3 linked regions of the Callithrix jacchus genome follow. The protein of the gene in region 1 interacts with the protein of each later gene in a biochemical or structural test. Links are inferred from orthologs where the notes say so. Each region holds a gene or a part of one and is shown on either strand. Other genes may lie near its edges. The genes, in order: USP21, ISG15 and YOD1.

What was found.
Region 2: the proteins of USP21 (region 1) and ISG15 form a complex in vitro, tested with the Homo sapiens proteins (2 studies listed by BioGRID, with this or other methods). The link is inferred for Callithrix jacchus from reciprocal best matches to the Homo sapiens genes USP21 and ISG15.
Region 3: the proteins of USP21 (region 1) and YOD1 form a complex in vitro, tested with the Homo sapiens proteins (2 studies listed by BioGRID, with this or other methods). The link is inferred for Callithrix jacchus from reciprocal best matches to the Homo sapiens genes USP21 and YOD1.

The regions. Positions count from the first base shown.
Region 1 is NC_133519.1:21,022,255-21,029,363, forward strand, and holds USP21 (ubiquitin carboxyl-terminal hydrolase 21), read left to right. Parts: upstream 1-166; 5' UTR 167-344; intron 345-1,276; 5' UTR 1,277-1,297; coding exon 1,298-1,897; intron 1,898-2,648; coding exon 2,649-2,708; intron 2,709-2,880; coding exon 2,881-3,001; intron 3,002-3,224; coding exon 3,225-3,336; intron 3,337-3,525; coding exon 3,526-3,681; intron 3,682-4,161; coding exon 4,162-4,226; intron 4,227-4,461; coding exon 4,462-4,565; intron 4,566-4,747; coding exon 4,748-4,834; intron 4,835-5,114; coding exon 5,115-5,193; intron 5,194-5,416; coding exon 5,417-5,524; intron 5,525-5,610; coding exon 5,611-5,725; intron 5,726-5,928; coding exon 5,929-6,019; 3' UTR 6,020-6,303; downstream 6,304-7,109. UniProt on the Homo sapiens protein: Deubiquitinates histone H2A, a specific tag for epigenetic transcriptional repression, thereby acting as a coactivator.
Region 2 is NC_133508.1:39,226,769-39,232,890, forward strand, and holds ISG15 (ubiquitin-like protein ISG15), read left to right. Parts: upstream 1-3,415; 5' UTR 3,416-3,477; coding exon 3,478-3,480; intron 3,481-3,861; coding exon 3,862-4,377; 3' UTR 4,378-4,419; downstream 4,420-6,122.
Region 3 is NC_133520.1:34,558,033-34,565,141, reverse strand, and holds the start of YOD1 (ubiquitin thioesterase OTU1), read left to right. Parts: upstream 1-2,692; 5' UTR 2,693-2,857; coding exon 2,858-3,200; intron 3,201-4,173; coding exon 4,174-4,877; 3' UTR 4,878-7,109. UniProt on the Homo sapiens protein: Hydrolase that can remove conjugated ubiquitin from proteins and participates in endoplasmic reticulum-associated degradation (ERAD) for misfolded lumenal proteins.

The sequences.
Region 1 (7,109 bases):
CCCACTCTGGACAAGGTTGAGAACTAGCGGCCCTAAACTTGGCCGCGTTTCCTTGGTGTCGATCGCGGAGCCTTGGAGGCGGGCTCACGCAAGCGCCAAGGGGCCGGGTGGGAGGAGTTCGAGTGTGGATGCGCAGGCGCTTTGAGAGCCGGTGAAGCCGGTGGCCGGTGGCCGGGCGGGACCAACAAAGATGGCGGCGGCCCCTGCGGCGGGAGCGATCTGGGCAACGGCTGCGGCTAAAGCTGCAGCCGAGCCCACGGGGGCGCTGCACGGGGGTAGTAGGGGGTGGCCCTGAGCTGCACCTGGCCCCGGCTGGCCTCTCCCGCCGCCTCACCGGGGGACAGGTACGGGCCGGGGCGTTATGGCATGGCGGGGTGTGGGGGGGCGCAGAGGGAAGACTGCTCCAGACCCGAGAGGACACTCTCCACAAAGGCGCGTGGGGCCCGGTGGGACCTGGGAGAACTGGGCTGGAGGGACAGCATCCCTGGACCTCGGAGAATACCCCGCCGGATTCCGTAGCCAATCAGCGGCCTCGGCCTTTCTGCCCTCGAGGGGGGCGGACCCGGCTAAAGCCCTGCTGTGGTGGGAGAGGTGCAGAGATTAAGGGTCTAGGAGTTGTTCGTCCTCCAACCCCGATCACTGCCCCTGAACCTCGACACAATGTCGGAGGTCGAAGATGGGGGAGGGAATGGATCGTAAGTCACCCATTTAGTCTGCTTCATTTAGCAGCCCAAAGGGGCAGGGATTTGAGGATGGAGGGCTATCTTTGGGGCTGTTATTCTTGCATCTGCACTATCATTTGGTTGGAGATCTTAAGTGACTCGAGGCACATCCTACTTTATTAGCCAGGTGTGGGGTCCCATGTTATGTTAGAGCCCAGATAGAAGTTATCACTGGATTTTCAGTAAAGCTGTATTCTGCAGGCAGGGGACGGGAGTATAGAAAGGGTCAAAGCCATGGGCTGCTATCTTTCCTTCATTCGTTTACCCCATAGATACTAAGTATTTATACCAAACACAATGCCAGGTATTGGGGATATGATGGCTGATTCAGTAGACCTGGTTCCTGCCCTTAGTGCATATACTGCTCCCCACTTTTGTTGATGTGGTAGTGGTGATGACTGAGCCAATCTAATGTGGAAAGTGTGAGGACAGCAAAATATTGGGTATGGAATGGGGCAAAGCAATAAGGGAAAATTAGTGTGGCAGGGTGCAGTACAGTAGCCTGTTCCTGTTTCCTCCCATGTTCAAATGCTGACACTCTCTTCTCCTCCCAGGTCCAGTCTGTGGTGTCCACAATGCCCCAGGCCTCTGAGCACCGCCTGGGCCGGACCCGAGAGCCACCTGTTAATATCCAGCCCCGAGTGGGATCCAAGCTACCATTTGCCCCCAGGGCCCGCAGCAAGGAGCGCAGAAACCCAGCCTCTGGGCCAAACCCCATGTTACGACCTCTGCCTCCCCGGCCAGGTCCCCCTGATGAACGGCTCAAGAAACTGGAGCTGGGACGGGGACGTACCTCAGGCCCTCGTCCCAGAGGCCCCCTTCGAGCAGATCATGGGGTTCCCCTGCCTGGCTCACCACCCCCAACTGTGGCTTTGCCTCTCCCATCTCGGACCAACTTAACCCGTTCCAAGTCTGTGAGCAGTGGGGACTTGCGTCCGATGGGGATTGCCTTGGGAGGGCACCGTGGCACCGGAGAGCTTGGGGCTGCGCTGAGCCGCTTGGCCCTCCGGCCTGAGCCACCCACTTTGAGACGTAGCACTTCTCTCCGCCGCCTAGGGGGCTTTCCTGGACCCCCAACCCTGTTCAGCATACGGACAGAGCCCCCTGCTTCCCATGGCTCCTTCCACATGATATCCGCCCGGTCCTCTGAGCCTTTCTACTCTGATGACAAGATGGTGAGGACTTGACAGCTCATATGGCCTTCATGACCATGTTCCTCTATGCTTTTCTGCCATCCTCTGCCTTTCCTGTCCCCATTTCCTTCAAGTTCCTTTCTCATACCCTTGAGCCTCCCAGACCCTTTTCTGGGTTGTTGGTGACCCCAGCATGGTGTGCTGTTTCAGTCCCCAGGGAATTAGCCCAACTATTTAGAATTCTTCTTTGGGTTCGCAGGCCCTTCCTTTCCCTTGCTGTATCTTATCTGCTGGGACTCTGCCTGGGCCTAATTAATCTCTGGAGCTAAAGAGAGGCGGGCTCAGAACATCTTAGCAAATGTGGTTTTACATTTTCTGAGCTAAGTAAGCTAGGCTGATTGCAATTGGAGTCAGCAGGAGAAAGGGCAAGAAGGGGCCACGGGGGCAGGAGGGGGTTTTGGGGGCAGAAAGGTGGGAGTGGTGAGCAGCTGGGCAACCATGCCAGTTCTTGGGGAGTTGCCCCAGGAGCTGCAACGTCGGCTAGCTGAGCAGAGGAGTAAGTGGGCAACAGGTGGGACAGCCATGGCTGAGTCCGTGGTACATTCAGCTGTGATGGGCTTACTGCTCATGACCAGTGAGGTAGGGAGACTAGAATACCTAGTGAGGGGAAAAGGGTAGAGTTTGGGGATGGAACATGCATGGGATGAGGGAGGCAGTGGACAGCATGCTGTTGAAAAGATAAAGTGCCAGCTAGGATATATAGGAACTTGCCGATTGTACTCTGACCTTCCAGGCTCATCACACACTGCTTCTAGGCTCTGGTCATGTTGGCCTTCGAAACCTGGGAAACACGGTGAGAGTCATTCTCCTATCTTTCCTCTCTAAAAGGAATGTGAAATGGTGCTGGGGCTGGGGAAAACCCGCAAGCTTGGGGAAGGCATGTGGAAGGAGAGCTCTGAAGCTCTTTTAAGGCTTCCAGGGCAATGGTCTGGAGAGACAACAGCAGTGTCCCTGCTGCTCCCCAGTGCTTCTTGAATGCTGTGCTGCAATGTCTGAGCAGCACTCGACCTCTTCGGGACTTCTGTCTGAGAAGGGACTTCCGGCAAGAGGTGCCTGGAGGAGGCCGAGCCCAAGAGCTCACTGAAGGTGGGGCAACAATTCCTGCTCCCTCTGTTCAAGTCCCTTTTTCCCCAACCACTTGCAGGTCCATCTGCCAGTGCTGCTGGCCCCCAGCCCTTAAATCTGGCAGTTGTATCTACTTTTCCCAGTGCCTACTTTCCTAAAGGTTGTTTTCGCCCTCTTAGCCACCTGTTGCTTGCCTCTTCCAGACATTAATCTCCATTTCCCTTCCCCACTCATATCCCAACAGCCTTTGCAGATGTGATTGGTGCCCTCTGGCACCCTGACTCCTGCGAAGCTGTGAATCCTACTCGATTCCGAGCTGTCTTCCAGAAATATGTTCCCTCCTTCTCTGGATACAGGTGGGAGAGCTGGAGGCTATGGGGTTTCTCTCTGGCCATGTCTAGGGGTAGGGCCAAGCAAGGGCCTTGACAGCACTGTTCTGAGCCTTGTGTTCTTTATCCAGGAGGTGGGGACTGATATCTGGGCAGGGAATAGTGTCTGTGGACTAGGAGGGGGGTCAGTTGCCCATACTCTTTACCTGGCTGTAGCCAACAGGATGCCCAAGAGTTCCTGAAGCTCCTCATGGAGCGGCTGCACCTTGAAATCAACCGCCGAGGCCGACGGGCTCCACCAATCCTTGCCAGCGGTCCAGCTCCCTCTCCACCCTGCCGAGGAGGGGCTCTGCTAGAAGAACCTGACTTAAGGTAAGGGTCACTCCCCCTACCTCCTCTCCCCAGTAGTTTATCCACAGCATTCACATTTCATAGAACTGAACTAGTCAAGATCGAAGATTTAGGGTCCAGGGAAACCCTTTAGTACAGAATATAGTGTGAAAAGCTCTTCTAAGAAATGGAAGGAAGGAAGAGGGGGAGTCTAAGGGGAGCAGATGGAGGCAGATCATGCTAGGGATGTCACCAAATAGAAGGAGAAGGGGATAATTAATTTACAAGTAGAGGATGACAGCATATTCTTTCCTTGTATACATTCCTTTCTTTTCCTCTCACCTTGGATTTCCCTAGAAAGTTCACTGAGGCATTATTTCTTTGACTTTTCCTTGAGATTTAGGGAAGGAGCAGGGGTGTGGGTGGGGTATAGGGCTTTGTGGGTTGTTTCGGTGGGTGTTGGGGGTGCCCAGTGTTCCCACTGTCTCATGGGTGCTTCCTACTTCCCTTGATCTGTGGTAGTGATGATGACCGAGCCAACCTAATGTGGAAACGTTACCTGGAGCGAGAGGACAGCAAGATTGTGGGTATGGAACGGGGCAAAGCAATGAGGGAACATTAGTGTGTGAGGCGGTACAGGCTTGAGGGGAGGAAATCGATACTATCAAGGGGTATGGGAATGAGACTGGATGATGCAAATGTTGTGTGAAGAGTTGGTTAGAGTGTTGGTAGTGGGAAAGGGGCAGGAAGAGATGGAAATCAAGAAATCATCTCATGGCATCCAACAATGACTTTTTCTCCTGTCCCTGTGCTTCTATCTAGACCTGTTTGTGGGCCAGTTGAAAAGTTGTCTCAAGTGCCAGGCCTGTGGGTATCGCTCCACGACCTTCGAGGTTTTTTGTGACCTGTCCCTGCCCATCCCCAAGGTGGGATTCCAGAGGATTCCAGGGTGGATAGGACAAGGGCTCGGTGACCCAAGCCTACCCACCCCAAAATGTGGGAGGGAACCCTGTGGGTCTCTGGAGCAGAACTGAAGCCTGGATTGATTGAGAAGAGTTGGAAAAGGAAATTCAGAACATGTTGACCCTTTCTTCCCCTTTTTCCCCAGAAAGGATTTGCTGGGGGCAAGGTGTCTCTGCGGGATTGTTTCAACCTTTTCACCAAGGAAGAAGAGCTAGAGTCGGAGAATGCCCCAGTATGTGGAGGTTCACAAGGGTTATATTATAGTAAGGGTGGGAGACCTGGGGGGACTCCATGTGAATAAAAGGGATTGCATGATGCCTTAGTATGGGGAATAATATTTCCGTATCTGGATTTATGTAGGAGTCTCAGACACATTCTAGTACTCCTGGGGCAAAGGGGAGAGGCCGAGAGGATCTGGCCATAATTGGGAGCACACGGAATGGATTGGGGTGTCAGAAAAGCCAATTGAGGTTAGGATCACATTAACCCAACACTGTTTGCCATTTATTCAGGTGTGTGACCGATGTCGGCAGAAAACTCGAAGTACCAAAAAGTTGACAGTACAAAGATTCCCCCGGATCCTTGTGCTCCATATCCTAATCTTCATATTCTTCTCTTAGGATACCTCCCATACATTCTCTTTCCTCACTCTCCATGTTTCCAGAGAATTGAATTTTCCCTAGGAAATGCCTACCACCCACCTTTCCACAGGCCACTCTGCGTGTGTGTTGGGAGGGGGGAAAGAACAGCCTTCAGGACAGAAGTCCCCCTCAGAGGCCCTCTGCCTCCCAAATGCTCCTTAACCAGGGCTTAGATCTGAATCGATTTTCTGCCTCCCGAGGCTCCATCAAGAAAAGTTCAGTAGGTGTAGACTTTCCACTGCAACGACTGAGCCTAGGGGACTTTGCCAGTGACAAAGCCGGTGAGTCTGGTGGGGAAGGTTCTAAGGAGCTGAAGGAGTGGGGGCACAGCTCTGATTTTAGAACTTGATCATCTCCAACCTCGCAGGAAGTCCTGTATACCAGCTGTATGCCCTTTGCAACCACTCAGGCAGCGTCCACTATGGCCACTACACAGCCCTGTGCCGGTGCCAGACTGGTTGGCATGTCTACAATGACTCTCGGTGAGAACAGCCTCCTGTTTACATCCTGCCCCATTCCCACTGCAGCCCTGACACTCTCCCCTTCTGTGAAGCCCCAGGAGAGCAGAGTGCCAGGTGAAAGGAGAGGTGGAGGTCTTGCCTGATCTCTTCCTGGATGCTCTGATGTAGGGAGGAGGGGGTAAACTGGAATGACTACAACCTGTTCCCCATCTCCTTTTTCCTAGTGTCTCCCCTGTCAGTGAAAACCAGGTGGCATCCAGCGAGGGCTACGTGCTGTTCTACCAACTGATGCAGGAGCCACCCCGGTGCCTGTGATGCCCTCTCTAAGCCCTGGCACCTGTGAAGTCCTTTAAACACCCTTAAGCCCCAGGCTCCCCATTTACCTCAGAGACGTCTATTTTTGTGTCTTTTTAATCGGGGAGGGGGGAGGGGGTGGTCGTAGCTCCATTATTTTTTTTAATAAAAAGTACCCTTCCACCTGGAGGCTCCCTTGTCTCCCAGCCCCATGTACAGAGCTCACCAAGCCCTTGCCCATGTACAGCCCCCAGACCCTCTGCAATTTCACTTTTTGTGAATAAATTTATTAAGAAAAAAATGACGTGCTTATTTGTATTTTTGCTTAGGGGGTGAAACAGGACTGGGCTAAATTGGAGGCTTCCTGGGACCCAGTTCCCTCTGTAACAGGTGGGGGCGCTCTTAGAGCCGAGGGGGAAGGTTTCGGGGATGGTGCTGGACCCGGACCTGTGCGCCCCAGCAGCGAAGGTTAAGTACTGGGAGGAAAAGAGGGAAGGTACACTTGAGTGAGGCTGCCAGGAGGCCTGAACTAGAGTGCAAGCTCTGGGGCGACGGGTTTGGTGGGCGATGGGGACTGACACTGTTGACAAACACGGTACGTTGCCGGGCGGCCCTAGCTCCCGCAGGCTCGGTCTGTTGCTAACATCAAGGAGCTGTTTATGGAACCGCCTCCCCGTGGACCGGTCTCCAGTGTCCCTATCTACTCTCCCTAGAACCAAGCTTCTGGGGCCTTCCCTCCAGGGTTGTCACCCTAGCTGGGCGTACGAAGCTTGCTGGGGAACGCTAACTCCCCAGCGCTCGCCGCAGCGGCCCTAGGGAGCGTAGCGCCGGGTACTGCCGCTCACTTCCAGCTTGACGCTGACGCGGTTAACCTCCGGCTCTTCCAGCGGCCGTCGCCTCTCCTTTGCCAGTTCAGTGTTTTCATTGGTGAACGTAATCCGGGACCTTCCAGCGCTCGCCAATCCCGAAGTAGGAGTGATAGGGTCAGGCGCGTGCCGCGAGAATAGAGTGGACGGAAAGTCGGAGAGACCGAAAGGGTTGGGGGTGGGAGTAGCGGATTTGAAGCACTTGTTGGCCTAGCGAGGCGTGGGAAGCAGAGCGCATACTCAGG
Region 2 (6,122 bases), on another chromosome or scaffold:
ACCAGGCTAATATTGGTATTTTTTTTTAATTTTTAAATTAAAAATATTTTTTTATTTCAAAGATGGGATTTCTCTATGATGGCCAGGCTGGTCTTGAACTCCTAGCCTCCAGTGATCTGCCCATCTGGGTCTCCCAAAGTGCTGGGATTACAGGCGTGAGCCACTGCACCTGGCTTATTGGTATTTTTAATAGAAATGTGGACCAGTCTTGGGATAATTTTTCCTGTTGCTTTTGTTGTTGCCACATAGTTAAAGGCTGGACATAGTAGCTTTAACTATGTGGGTTCACCATGTTGGCCACGGCTGGTCTTGAACTCCTGGACCTCAGATGATCTTCCCGTGTCAGCTTTCCAATGTTGCTGTGTGAGCCACCACACCTGGCCTGTGTTTTGTTTTATGAGACAAGTTCTTGTTCTGTTGCTCAAGCTGGAGTGCAGTGATGAGATCATAGCTCACTGCAGCCTCAACCTCCTGGGTTCAAGTGATCCTCCTGACTCAGCCTCCCAAAGCACTGGGATTACAGGTGCGAGCCACTGCACCCGGCTGTGTCTTTGGTTTTTACATGCTAACAATGTTTGTGCCCCACTAGATTTTTGCTGGGAGAGGGGAAGGCCCACGATTCGTATTCAGAATATGTTGTTTTTTCACTCCTTTACTTATTTATTTGAATGTTATGTATGATTGCTGAGTCTTAGCTACCCTTGCCTGCTATGTGCTGTATGTCACAGCAGCAATTTGGGAACACTGAGTGATGTGGGACTGGTTAACTAAATCGACTCTGTGTGGGCAGGGACCCGTCTGCAGTTAAAACAACTTGCATAGATGTATCCACCAATGCGGATAGATGTGTGTTTTGTGTTTTGGGGTTTTTCTTTTGAGATAGAGTCTTGCTCTGTTGCCCAGGCTGGAGTGCAGTAGAGTGATCTCCACTCACTGCAATCTCCACGTCATGGGCTCAAGTGATTCTCCTACCAAGTAGCTGGGATGACAGGCTTGCATCACCACACCCAGCTAATTTTTTGCATTTTTAGTAAAGACGGGTTTTCACCATGTTGGCCAATCTGGTCTCGAACTCCTGGCCTCCAGTGATCTGCCCATCTGGGCCTCCCAAAGTGCTGGGATTACAGGTGTGAGCCACTGCTCCCGGCCTTTTTTTTTTTTTTTTTTTTTTTTGTATTTTTAGTAGAGATGGGGTTTCACCATGCAGGTCAGGCTGGTCTCAAACTCCTGGCCTTGAGTGATCCGCCTGCCTCAGCCTCCCAAAGTGCTGGGATTACAGGTGTGAGCCACCCACACCCGGCCTAGGCAGATGTTTATGATACATTGTTTCCTGAATGAAGCAGATTACAAACTGGTGAACATACAATGAGGCTTTTTCTCTTTTGCTTTTTATTGATGTGAAAATCATATAACATGAAACTAACCATTTTAAAGAATGTAATCCAGTGGCCTTTATTCATCACATTGTCCAACCATCACTCTACGGCTGTTATCACCCCATCCCTCCTCCCCAGCCCCCGGTAACAGGCCTGACTTCCTGTTCCTGTGGTCTATCCGTTCTGGGCATTTTTCCTGCAGTAAGTGGAATCACACAACCTGCCGCCTTTGTATCTGGCTCCTTTCCCTTAGCATAATGTTTGTGAGGTTCTTTTACATCGTAGCAGGAATCAGTGCTTCAGTCCTTTTCACGGCTGCATAATATTCCATTGCATGGACATTCCACATTTTGTTTATCCATTCATCTCTGATGGACGTTTGCTCTGTTTCCAAGATTTGTCTAATGTGAATTGTGCTGCTATGAACATTTGTATGCAAGTATTTGAACACCTGTTTTCAATTCTTTTGAACACATGCCTGCAAGTGGAATGCTGAGTTACTCAATAATTCTATGTCTAACATTTTGAGGATCACAGTGGCCAAACTATTTTACATTCCCAACAGCAGTGTTATGTGCCATGATTCCAACTTCTCCGTGTAGTCATTCACCAACGCTTGTTATTGTCCTTTATTTTTATTTTATACTAGTTTTTGAGACAGTCTCGCTCTGTCGCCAAGGCTGGAGTGCAGTGGCACAGTCTTGGCTCACTGCAATCTACACCTCCCGGGTTCAAGAGATTCTCCTGCCTCAGCCTCCCAAGTAGCTGGGATTACAGGTGCCCTCCACCACACCTGGCTAATTTTTGTATTTTAGTAGAGATGAGGTTTCTACTAAAAATGTTGGCCAGGCTGGTCTGGAACGCCTGACCTCAGGTGATATGTCTTCCTCAGCCTCCTGAAATGTTGGAGGACATGTTCAGTGAGCCTTCATTTTCATTATTACAGTCATGCTAATCGAAATCAGCTTCTCATTGGGGTTTTGATTTGCATTTCCCCATGAATAATGATACGGCCGCCTTCCCGAGGTACGCAGCTGTTTCTGTGTCACTGGAGAAATGTCTATTGAAGTCTTTTGCCCATTTTAAAATTGACTCGCCTTTTTAAAATTGAGTTGTAAGAGTTCTTTGTACGCCCTGGATGCTGCCCCTCATCAGAGAAATAATTTGAAAATATTTCTTCCCATTCTGTGGATTGTTTTTCACTTTCTCAGTAGGGCCCCAGAATTCATTTTTTTTTTTTTAATAAAAGATATGTCTCTTCTATTAAAAAACAATATGAGGCCTGAGCGTGGCGGCTCAGGCCTGTCATCCCTGCACTTTTGGGGCCGAGGCAGGTGGATCACTTGAGTCCAGAAGTTCAAGACCAACTTGGGCAACATGGAGAGATTCCATCTCTACTAAAAATACAAAAAATTAGCTGGTGCACCTGTGGTCCCAGCTACTTAAGAGGCTGAAGTGAAAGGATCGCTTTGGCCCAGGAGGTGGAGGCTGCAGTGCACTGAGATCGTGCCACTGCACTTCAGCCTGGGGGACAGAGTGAGACCCTGTCTCAAAAAAACAAAAACAACAACAAAAAACACCAATCTGAGCAAACATTTCCCTAAACCAAGTGAGGTTATCTCTGGGTAGTTTGGACGGTCACTGTTTCACTTCCAAGTTTACTAATCTTGCAAACTGGTAAATGGAAAATGAAAACTGCCCATCATTCGTTCATGCGACGATGAGTTACTACATCTCGTGAAGGACCCAGAATGCTGGATACTCAGGTGTTTCCAGGGCGTTGGGCAGGGGTGGGGACGCTGTCCGCTGTCCTGAGTCCCTGTCCCTGACCGTGCCCTTGAGACCCTGCCTACTCTGCTTCTGCTTTTCCCTCTGTTTTCGTCATTCTGTTTTGTTTCTTCTACTCACTCCCGGGCTTGCCTCGGGAAAAGGAAACTGAAACCGAAGCTGAATCTGGCCACTAGGCTCAGGCTCCCCTGGCACGCCCCCTGACATGTGCGGCTCAGGCTTATAAAAGGGCCGGTGGTGGCTCGGGAGCTGGCAGCCCAGAGGCAGCGCATTCATCTTTGCTGTATGGGAGCTTGTGCCACAGCCCACAGCCATGGTAAGGCAGATGCCACAGGTGGGGGCGGGGGGCTGCGTTCAGTCCATTTTCCTCTCTCTTCCCCAGCCAGGGTCTCCTGGGGGTGCAGGGTGCTGAGTGGTCAGCCAGGTGACCTGAACGTTCTCCTGAAAGCGGGTCACCCCGGAGAGTGTCGGGGTGGGGCACAGAGGGGCGTCCTAGCAGGTAAGGGGAGGCCACAAGGTGGCTGTGGGCAGCTGACCTTCTAGCAGTGACCCCTCAGTGCCTTCTGTGCCTGCGGTCCCTGCTGACAACATGTGGATGGAGCAGTATCCCTGGGCACAGGCGCTTGTGCAGCCAGAGCCTCATGTGTGGTGGGCCTGGGGCTGGTGCAGAGTCTCTGAGCCTGTGTGATTCCTGCAGGGCCGGGACCTGACAGTGAAGATGCTGGGGGGCCACGAGTTCCAGGTGCCCCTGAGCAACTCCATGTTGGTGTCAGAGCTGAAGGCAAAGATCACCCAGAAGATCGGTGTGCACGCCTTCCAGCAGCGTCTGGCCATCTACCCGAGTGGCATGGCACTGCAGGACAGGGTCCCCCTTGCCAGCCAGGGCCTGGGCCCCGGCAGCACCATCCTGCTGGTGGTGGACAGCTGTCATGAACCTCTGAGCATCCTGGTGAGGAATGACAAGGGCCGCAGCAGCACCTATGAGGTGGCACTGACACAGACCGTGGCGCAGCTGAAGCGGCAAGTGAGCCAGCAGGAGGGCGTGCAGGAAGACCTGTTCTGGCTGACCTTCGAGGGGAAGCCCATGGAGGACCAGCTCCCGCTGGGAGAGTATGACCTCAAGCCCCTGTGCACCGTGTACATGAATCTTCGCCTGCGGGGAGGCAGCGCAGAGCCTGGCAGGCTGAGCAGAGGGCCTCCTGCCAGCATCTGAGCAGGATCAAGTGCTGGAAATAAAGGTTGCTGCAAGGGGAAATGGATGCCTCTGTGTCTGCGCCTGCCCCTCCAGGGGCCATCTCTGATCTGACCCTGCTGATGGAGCTAGGGGAGGAGTCAGGAGGGAGAACTGCCTCTGTGTCTGCACCTGCCACTCCAGGGGCCACCTCTGATCTGACCCTGCTGATGGGGCTAGGGGAGGAGTCAGGAGGGAGAACACAGGGTATATCCTGGTGGCCAGGCCTGCGTTGCCAAGTGAAGGGCCTGCAGTTACAGCCTCGAGGGATCAAAATAGGGACCCCCCCAAAACTGAAGTAAGACAGGTCTTCCCACCCTTTGGGAAATTATCTTCTAGAGAAAGAAAAAGAGGTGCATTTGATGGAACCCACCTGGCCCTCCAGCATCTGGGACAGCAGACGGCTTGCACAGGGACCAGCCTGCTCAGATCAAAAGGCTACCAGGGAGGCTCATGGAAGCAGTGAGGGGTGATTCCTCGGGGCCTACCCAGTGGGCCGTGAGGCAGGCTCTGCACAGGAACTGGGGCTGGGGGCCTTAGTTATCCCTAGGCAGCATGCACAGCCTGCTCCACCTGCCTGGGCTGGGCTAGGGAGGAGTAGAGACGGTCTGAACCTCACATCACCACTGTGGCCAGCTGCAGAAGAGCAGAAGGCAGCCTGGGTGGCCCCAAGCACACTCTTCAGGGCTCTGCATGAGGGAGGGGCTGTGGCCAGCAGTGGGGGGCACCTGGAATTGAGGCTGACACTGTCCAGGAAGAAGGGCTTGTCCCAGGTGGGGGGACCCAAGTCAGTACAAGCTATACCCCCCTCCCCACTGATGTGCCCTTCCCTGTCTCTCGATTCCAATTTGCTAAATGAGTCCCCCCAGAAGCCAGCTGTCGGCCAGGACACTTCAAGGACACGGCACAGTGGGACACACAGAGTCCGGATTGGGGCACTTGGGCCTCAGCTTTCAGAGCCCTGGAGGGGATGTGGCTGGAGACACAGAGCCCTCCGTGGTCTGTGAGTCCATGTCTGGGTGGGGGATCCCCATCTGGCTGCACCAAGACCACTGTGTGCCTGAGTGTGTCCAGCAGGGGCTGTCTCAGCTCCAGCCTTGTTTCTGGTCCCCACCTCATCCCTTTGCCACAACAGGCACTTGAAGCTGGCCCAGGAGTCTCTCCTGAAACCCCCACAGGGTCAGGGCAGGGCAGAGTCTCTGTCATACTCTGACCCAGAGATCAGTAGCTAGCTTGGGGTGAGGGGGTGCACCACAGACCCAGTCCTTTTTTTTAAATTTTGAGACGGAGTCTTGCTCTGTTGTCCAGGCTGGAGAGCAGTGGCACGATCTTGGCTCATTGCAACCTCTGCCTCCCAGGTTCAAGCAATTCTCCTGCCTCAGCCTCCTCGTGCCTGCCACCATGCCCAGCTAATTTTTGTTTTGTTTTGTATTTTTAGTAGAGACAGGGTTTCGCTGTGTTGGCCAGGCTGGTCTCAAGCTCATGATCTCGTGATCTGCCCTCCTTGGCCCCCAAAGTGCTGCGATTACAAGTGTGAGCCACCTCACCTGGCCTAATTTTTGTATTTTTAGTAGAGATGGGTATTTTACCATCCTGGCCAGGCTGGTCTTGAACTCCTGGTCTCAAGTGATCTGTGTGCCTCAGCCTCCCAAAGTGCTGGGATTACAGGTGTGAACCACTGCAACCACTGCATACGGGCGACCCAGTCCTTTGAAAATAAATACAGG
Region 3 (7,109 bases), on another chromosome or scaffold:
GTTATAAATAGACCAAGTTCATTACCAAGAAAGTAACTCCAATCTAACCTTAGGTCTCAGTTTTGAAAAAAGTGAGGCCGGGTGCTGTGGCTCACACCTGTAATCCCAGAACTCTGGGAGGACGAAGTGGGCAGATCACGAGGTCAAGAGATCGAGACCACCCTGGCCAACATGGTGAAACCCCTGACTCTACTAAAAATACAAAAATTATCGGCGTGGTCTTGCGTGCCTGCAATCCCAGCTACTTGGGAAGCTGAGGCAGGAGAATCGCTTGAACCAGGGAGGCAGAGGTCGCAGTGAGCAGAGATCGCACCACTGCACTCCAGCCTGGCGACAGAGAGAGACAGACTCCGTCTCAAAGAAAAAAGAAAAGAGTGAGAGACGTGGGAAAATCTCGAACATATTCCCTGAAGGAAAAACAGTAACTGAACCCCAAGACAGCCTTAGCACGTCGTTATTTCTACTCTGGTGCATTCTCACGCCATGCTCCGCACTCTCTCCCCAGTTACCCTCGGGACTCAGTCTAAAGAACACCGGAGAGCTGAGGTGGTAAATGACTTCCCCAAGGTCACCTCAGAAAGAGGGGTAAGCCCTGATTCGAATTGGAATGGGAAACCCCTGAGCTCATGCCCCAAACTCAGACAGGAGGGGGCTGGTGAGGACGGAAGGTCCTGCGGCTTCAAGAGCCCTACATGATTCCAACGCTGACCACACAAATCCTCCAACCCAAACACCCGCTGTAGCTGCCGGTCCCAGAACGTCCGCGCTCCCTGCAGTGCCCGGGGACCAGCACCTCGCCCCGCACTTCATCCAGGGGCACGCAGCCCCCTCATCCAGCCCGCTAGACCCTACCCGGCGCTGCGCAGCTGTGGCTCACCCTACGATCTCTCCTATGATCCCTCCCTGCCTTGGCCCCGGCGCCTCCCCAGTAACGCAACCGAACCGACAGCTGGTGGCCGGGGCGGGCGCTCCAGTTGCCGGCAAATCACGTGAGCCCGTCTGGCCCCACCCCTTCGAGCCTAGGTCCTCACCTGGAGAGAATCATCCACCAATCGGGGGCCTGGAGGGCCCGGGGGCGGGGCCAGGTCACAATTGCCTACGAGGGCTCCGGAAGGCGGGTGGAAGTGGGAACCCGAGAGATCACCAGCTCCCGAGTTTCCCAGCGCCGTGGAGCCTGGTGGCATCGTTGCTTAGTAACTAATAGGGCTGGGGGCGGGGTTAATAAAAAGCCCGGCTTTTTTTCTGACTCTCGCGAGAGTGAACTATTCAGTAGGCGCCTTGAGAGGGAGTGTGTACTTTGGATGATGAGAAAGTGTTGCAAGAATTAACGCTCTCATTCCTGAATCCCAGCACAACCTCGTTAGATCCCTAAATGGGAACGTAGGCTTATGAAGATGTTTTTTCTAGAATAAACTACCACAACACTTGAGCTGATTATACCTTAGGGTGTTTACATATCCCTCTCCACAGGTCAGAAGCTGTACCCTAAGAAAATCAACTACTCTCATCTTTGAACCAGAAGCTTCCCTGGACCCACCCATACACCCCAGTGGGCTTCTAACCATTCCTACTTTCCCTCCTACCTGCCCCCAACCCAGGCTGTATCATCTGTGGTGATCGTCTTGAAGAACCAAGGAGGAAAATTGCACCAGAAAAAAAAATTGAGTCATTAAAGGTGTGAAAAGATTACATATAATTTATTCAGAAGCTAAGTGTTTTACAGGAGATGAGTTTGCACCTTCCACGTGAACTACACTTTTCATAGTTGCCCCAGCGGGCCCGTCTGATGCTTGATAAACCCACTCTAGGCAGGTGGGACTTGCTGTCTGGATCCCGGCTGTATAAAGAACAATGAGTATGGATTTCTTGAAAAAGACAAATATAAATTCACGGATGTCTTTATTCCTCCTTCGCCTAGGAATTAAATTCATTCTTCCTAAAGTTCAAATAGTTATCGCCTCTTTGAGGCTTTTACAACTCCCAGAGCGCTCTAGTAGCCCTCTCTGTGTTACAACTCTGTCTTTATTCATTCGCAAGTATTTGTTGAACACTTTTTATTTACGAGGCAAAGTCCTGGGTTCTAGGCATACATGGTTGAAAAGGTACACGTAATCTAGCATTGTCACGTTGCTTTGAAATTCAGTGGCTGTGTGTCTCACACTCCACCCTCTCGCTCAGTCGCAATGAATACTTGTTACACTGAAGGCAGGAATGAAGTCTTCATATTTCTATGCCCAGGAACTGAACTGGAATCTGATGACACTTGTTTCACGACTCCTCCTTACACTGCCACCACCTGAATAAGGCAACTGCCCTGTGCCCAGATGCTGACTGTGCTTTCTGATGTAGCAAATAGACGTTTTCAAGCACAGTCTCGGGAGGTGGAAAGGTCAGTCCTTTGGCCCCTGAAACTCCAATGAGTCAATGTTTAATGCAGCCACGAGTCTAGTCACAAGTAGGATTGTTTTTGACTGGTCCTTTGACTCACCGACCATTCCTGGCATTCATTTGCGTTGTGAGCTATGATTCTGTTTCTCCTGGTGTAGTCTGGGTATAGTGTGGAAGCCCCGATTTAATAATTTCCGACCTCATTAAGTGCCAGGTCACATTCCAATCTCCACGGCTTCATTCAGGAACTCCTTCCCCCGCCCTCTTCTTTGAGCATATATGCTACCTCACTCGCTCTACAGGTAGCAAGACCCGTTGTCCTTTAGGAATACGGAGGTTTACATCTTCGTTCTGAGGGTGGGGAAAAAAAATTGTTATCACTTTAAAAGTGTTCGCGCTTGCTAAGGTGCTAAGGCAGAAGCAGAGCTCGAAGCGTCGCGAGAACTGGAACCACGCGCAACTTCTCGCGATGTTTGGCCCCGCTAAAGGTCGCCATTTTGGAGTCCACCCGGCTCCTGGTTGTCCCGGCGGCGACTCTCAACCTGCTGCCGGGACCAAAGCTGGCCCCGAGGGTGTCTGGCCTGTGGGCAGCCGGACCGACACGATGTGGCGGCTCCGCTGCAAGGCCAAGGACGGCACCCATGTTTTGCAGGGGCTGTCCAGCCGGACCAGGGTGTGGGAACTCCAGGGCCAAATTGCCGCCATCACCGGGATCGCCCCCGGCGGTCAGCGAATCCTCGTCGGATACCCTCCCGAGTGCCTGGATCTCAGCAATGGGGATACCATTCTGGAGGACTTGCCCATCCAATCTGGTAAGGAATCAGGGCTGGGGCCAGTAAAGTCTCGGGAGGACGGAGAGGGGCGTGAGAGAGAATAGAAAGCTAGTTACGGTGGCTGTGGGTCAACTGGGGCTTTGAGACCAGGGGTGAGGATAGATCAAAGAACAGAGAACTCTGACGCAAGCCGGGGCAAGTGTCTAGCAACTCCTGGTCTTTACACAGGCTTGAAAAGCAACCCACAGCCTTGAAGTCCCCCTTACCCAATCCGCTTTCTGGTCGGCTTTGAAACTATCTGATTTTGTTTTCCCTCGGCGTTCACAAAAATAAAAAGAAGTAGGGCCTCTTTTCTCTGTCCTTATTTATGTCTCTTTTTCCCTATATCATCGATCAGGTCTTAAGGGTGCAGGATTTTTTTTTTTTCTTGGTTCATTTTTGCGGTCGCCTTCATAGATACTTCGTTTGATAGGCATATTCATTTTAGAGTTAGCTTTTAGACACCCACTGAAAGCCCTTTCAAGTTCTAACCAGGAGCAGTTTATTTCTGTGCCATATTAAAACTTGAACATCAGTGTTGATAATTAAAAGCTTCCAGTTGTATCAAGGACGCTGTAAACACTCGATAGAGTAGATAATTTTCCGGAGAAGGAGAACCCCCTAGCGGCCTACTTTGTAGTGAGCACCTTCTGTAAGATACTGTATAAGGAAATGAAATTTTGTTTTTGAATATATCTTTTTAAGTAAGCCTCAAGTTGTATACTCTAGACCCCTTGACTAAATTGGGGTGCAATCTGAAGTGTTTTTTGTTCTTTGTTCTTTTTTCATCTTTATGAAAATTCAGTGAATAAAAATTGTTACTGGTCACTTATTTGCAAAGCTGTATTCTTCTTAGTAACCCCAGTTTATGCTTTAACTCCTTCAGTTTGTAATTTACAGACGTGGCTAGTGAACACTTCAGTTTCTTCTGTAATTTCTCTGCAGTTCTGAATTCTTTTTTTTTTTTTAACAGGTGACATGCTGATCGTTGAAGAAGACCAAACCAGGCCCAAAAGTTCACCTTCACTTACTAAACATGGTGCTTCTAGTTACGTCAGGGAAACTTTGCCTGTGCTTGCCAGAACCGTGGTCCCAGCAGACAACTCTTGCCTCTTTACCAGTGTGTACTATGTCGTTGAAGGAGGAGTCTTGAATCCAGCTTGTGCTCCTGAGATGAGACGCCTCATAGCACAAATTGTAGCAAGTGATCCAGACTTCTATAGTGAGGCAATACTGGGAAAAACAAATCAAGAGTACTGTGACTGGATCAAAAGGGATGACACTTGGGGAGGAGCAATAGAGATATCGATTTTGTCCAAGTTTTACCAATGTGAAATATGTGTAGTGGATACACAGACAGTAAGAATTGATCGTTTTGGGGAAGATGCAGGATATACCAAAAGGGTTCTGCTTATTTATGACGGCATCCACTATGATCCACTTCAGCGGAACTTCCCCGATCCAGACACACCTCCTCTGACCATTTTCTCCTCTAATGATGATATCGTTCTCGTACAAGCACTGGAACTAGCAGATGAAGCTAGGAAAAGGAGACAGTTTACTGATGTCAACCGCTTCACCCTGAGATGCATGGTATGTCAGAAAGGATTAACTGGACAAGCAGAAGCAAGGGAACATGCCAAGGAGACAGGCCATACCAACTTTGGAGAAGTGTGATCTCTGCATGAATGAGGGTTGAAGCCTACTACCTCACAGATCCAGAAGGCTCTGGGTTTTCCAATAAGCTATTGTAACCCTAAAGAACAAAAGGACACAATGCTTGAACCATCCTTTTAACTTAAAACCACTAAGACACTGAAATTCCTTGTTAAGATTAAAATTAGTGTGCAAGTTTACAGATGTGTGTCTACAATGGTAGACTGTACATACATGCCTCTTTCTGCTGGAGTGACAGAGGTGATCCTTGCCACCTACTGACACTGACCTGAAGATTGAGATTTAGTATTATAAACTAGCACCCAGCAGCTTTAACTTTTAGAAGAAAACATCACATTCTGGGTAATGTGGAAGGCCTGTGAGGCCACTGGACATTTACCAGTGTCTCCAGTAACTGAGTCGTTTTAAAAACTGAATGAGTTAAGTTTCTAAATTATGAATTGATTCATCAAATGAAGATACTCAGAATTGTCCAAACTGATTTTATATTGCAATTTGGTAGACTTTATAAATGTGTGCTTAACCACTGATAAGTACATCACAAGCAATTTTTACAGGGATGAGTTTCCCTTGAGAATGTTATCACAAAACAGGAACTGATTGTGCCCTGTTTAAGATATCTAGTGTATAAAAAGTAGAATGTATGAGGGAAAAGGTGCCTGAGCAGCTTACTGAAGCTTTAAAAAGACCGTTGGCCTCGTGTTTTAATGCAATTCTTGTATTGGTTGTCACATTGGATAACATTTTGAAGTTAAGCAGGGTATTTTTTTAATTGAAATTCCTTGAAATTTGAGTGCTCAGTTTTCCCTTCATTTGCATAAAGATTTGTCTGGAGGGATTTAGTTTTCTCAGCCTTGTGTTAAGAGCACTTTATCCAAATTTTTTTTTTTTCAACTAAAGTAATAATGCTCTGCTTTGGGTTGGTTTTTGTAAGATTTTTTTTGCATACCTACACAGTGTTTGCTTTTGTGCTGGCCTTATCCCTCCACTAATGTGATTTTAAAGAATTCCACATTTCTGCAAATTAGCACTTTGCTTATCTGCAATCTTTTACTTTGATTTTTGAAGTAATTGGAGTAATGCTGTTGAATGAATTTGTTTCACTTCCAAAATAGGAATATGTTTAAATCCTTGCCTTATGCAGCTTTCTCGGAATTCTGCTTCTTCCTAATACTAGATGTGTAGCCATTTGCTTGGTGGACTAATCCGCAAGGCACACCCTCTAAAACTTAGCTTCACTACAAGATCTTCCAGATAAAGTTTTCTACCTCTTTTCTTAATTATTCTGATCAGGGATGCTAAATTATCATATGTTATGTATTATCTCACATAATGTGAAGAGGCTTAATGTTGTGAAGTTTGATTGTTTTGGTCTTATTTTTTATTAAGTATCTCAGAGTATCAATGGTATACTTTAAAGCACTTAGTTCTTTTTCAGCCTATCTTCCTGGCAGATGTTTTAAAATTGACCTTTACTTTTAGCACTTCACTTGGTGAAGGTGGCCATATAAAATTAAGGAACGTTTGAGCAATATAGGAAAAAAGTACTTTTAAGGAACAATTCACAAAATATGTTTGAAATCATCAGATGACATTTCTTGAATATCTTTTGTGTGCATAGTTATTTTAGACAGTATAAGCTATTATGGTTAGTATAACTTAACAGTGTTTAGTTTTCTATTTTACTGAGCCTTAAAAATAGCACTTGTGAGCTTACAATACTTAATGTTTGGCAATCATGTTCAAATTAATAGGATTGAAAATATCTGGTCTGGATGGTTTTGGTTTTGCATCTTTCTTATTTCTCCCAGAAAATATTAAATTTAAAACTGTAAATTAAGACTATACCACTAGACAGCAACCATCAGTTTGAGCTTTATGCATCATTACTCATAAATCTTGCCTTCCATTGCTACTTTAGGAGACAAATTTGACATTTGCTTAATGCAGCTTTAGATCTACAAGTTTATTCATGCAACAAATATTTATTGAGTAATTTATACTGTGCCAGGCATGTTTTGATATGTTTGTGTCCTATGTTTTGATATGTTCCAACATAAATTTCTGTCACTTTAAAATTCAGTATATATCGTCTATGGTGGGTAAATTTAACAAATGAAAAGGAATAGAACACTGATATTTTACAGAATTAAACCCATTCATTGTAAGTGCTTTGTTTACATATTAAGTGTCAAGTATTTATTCAGGAGCTCTTATTTCATTCTGTTTTAT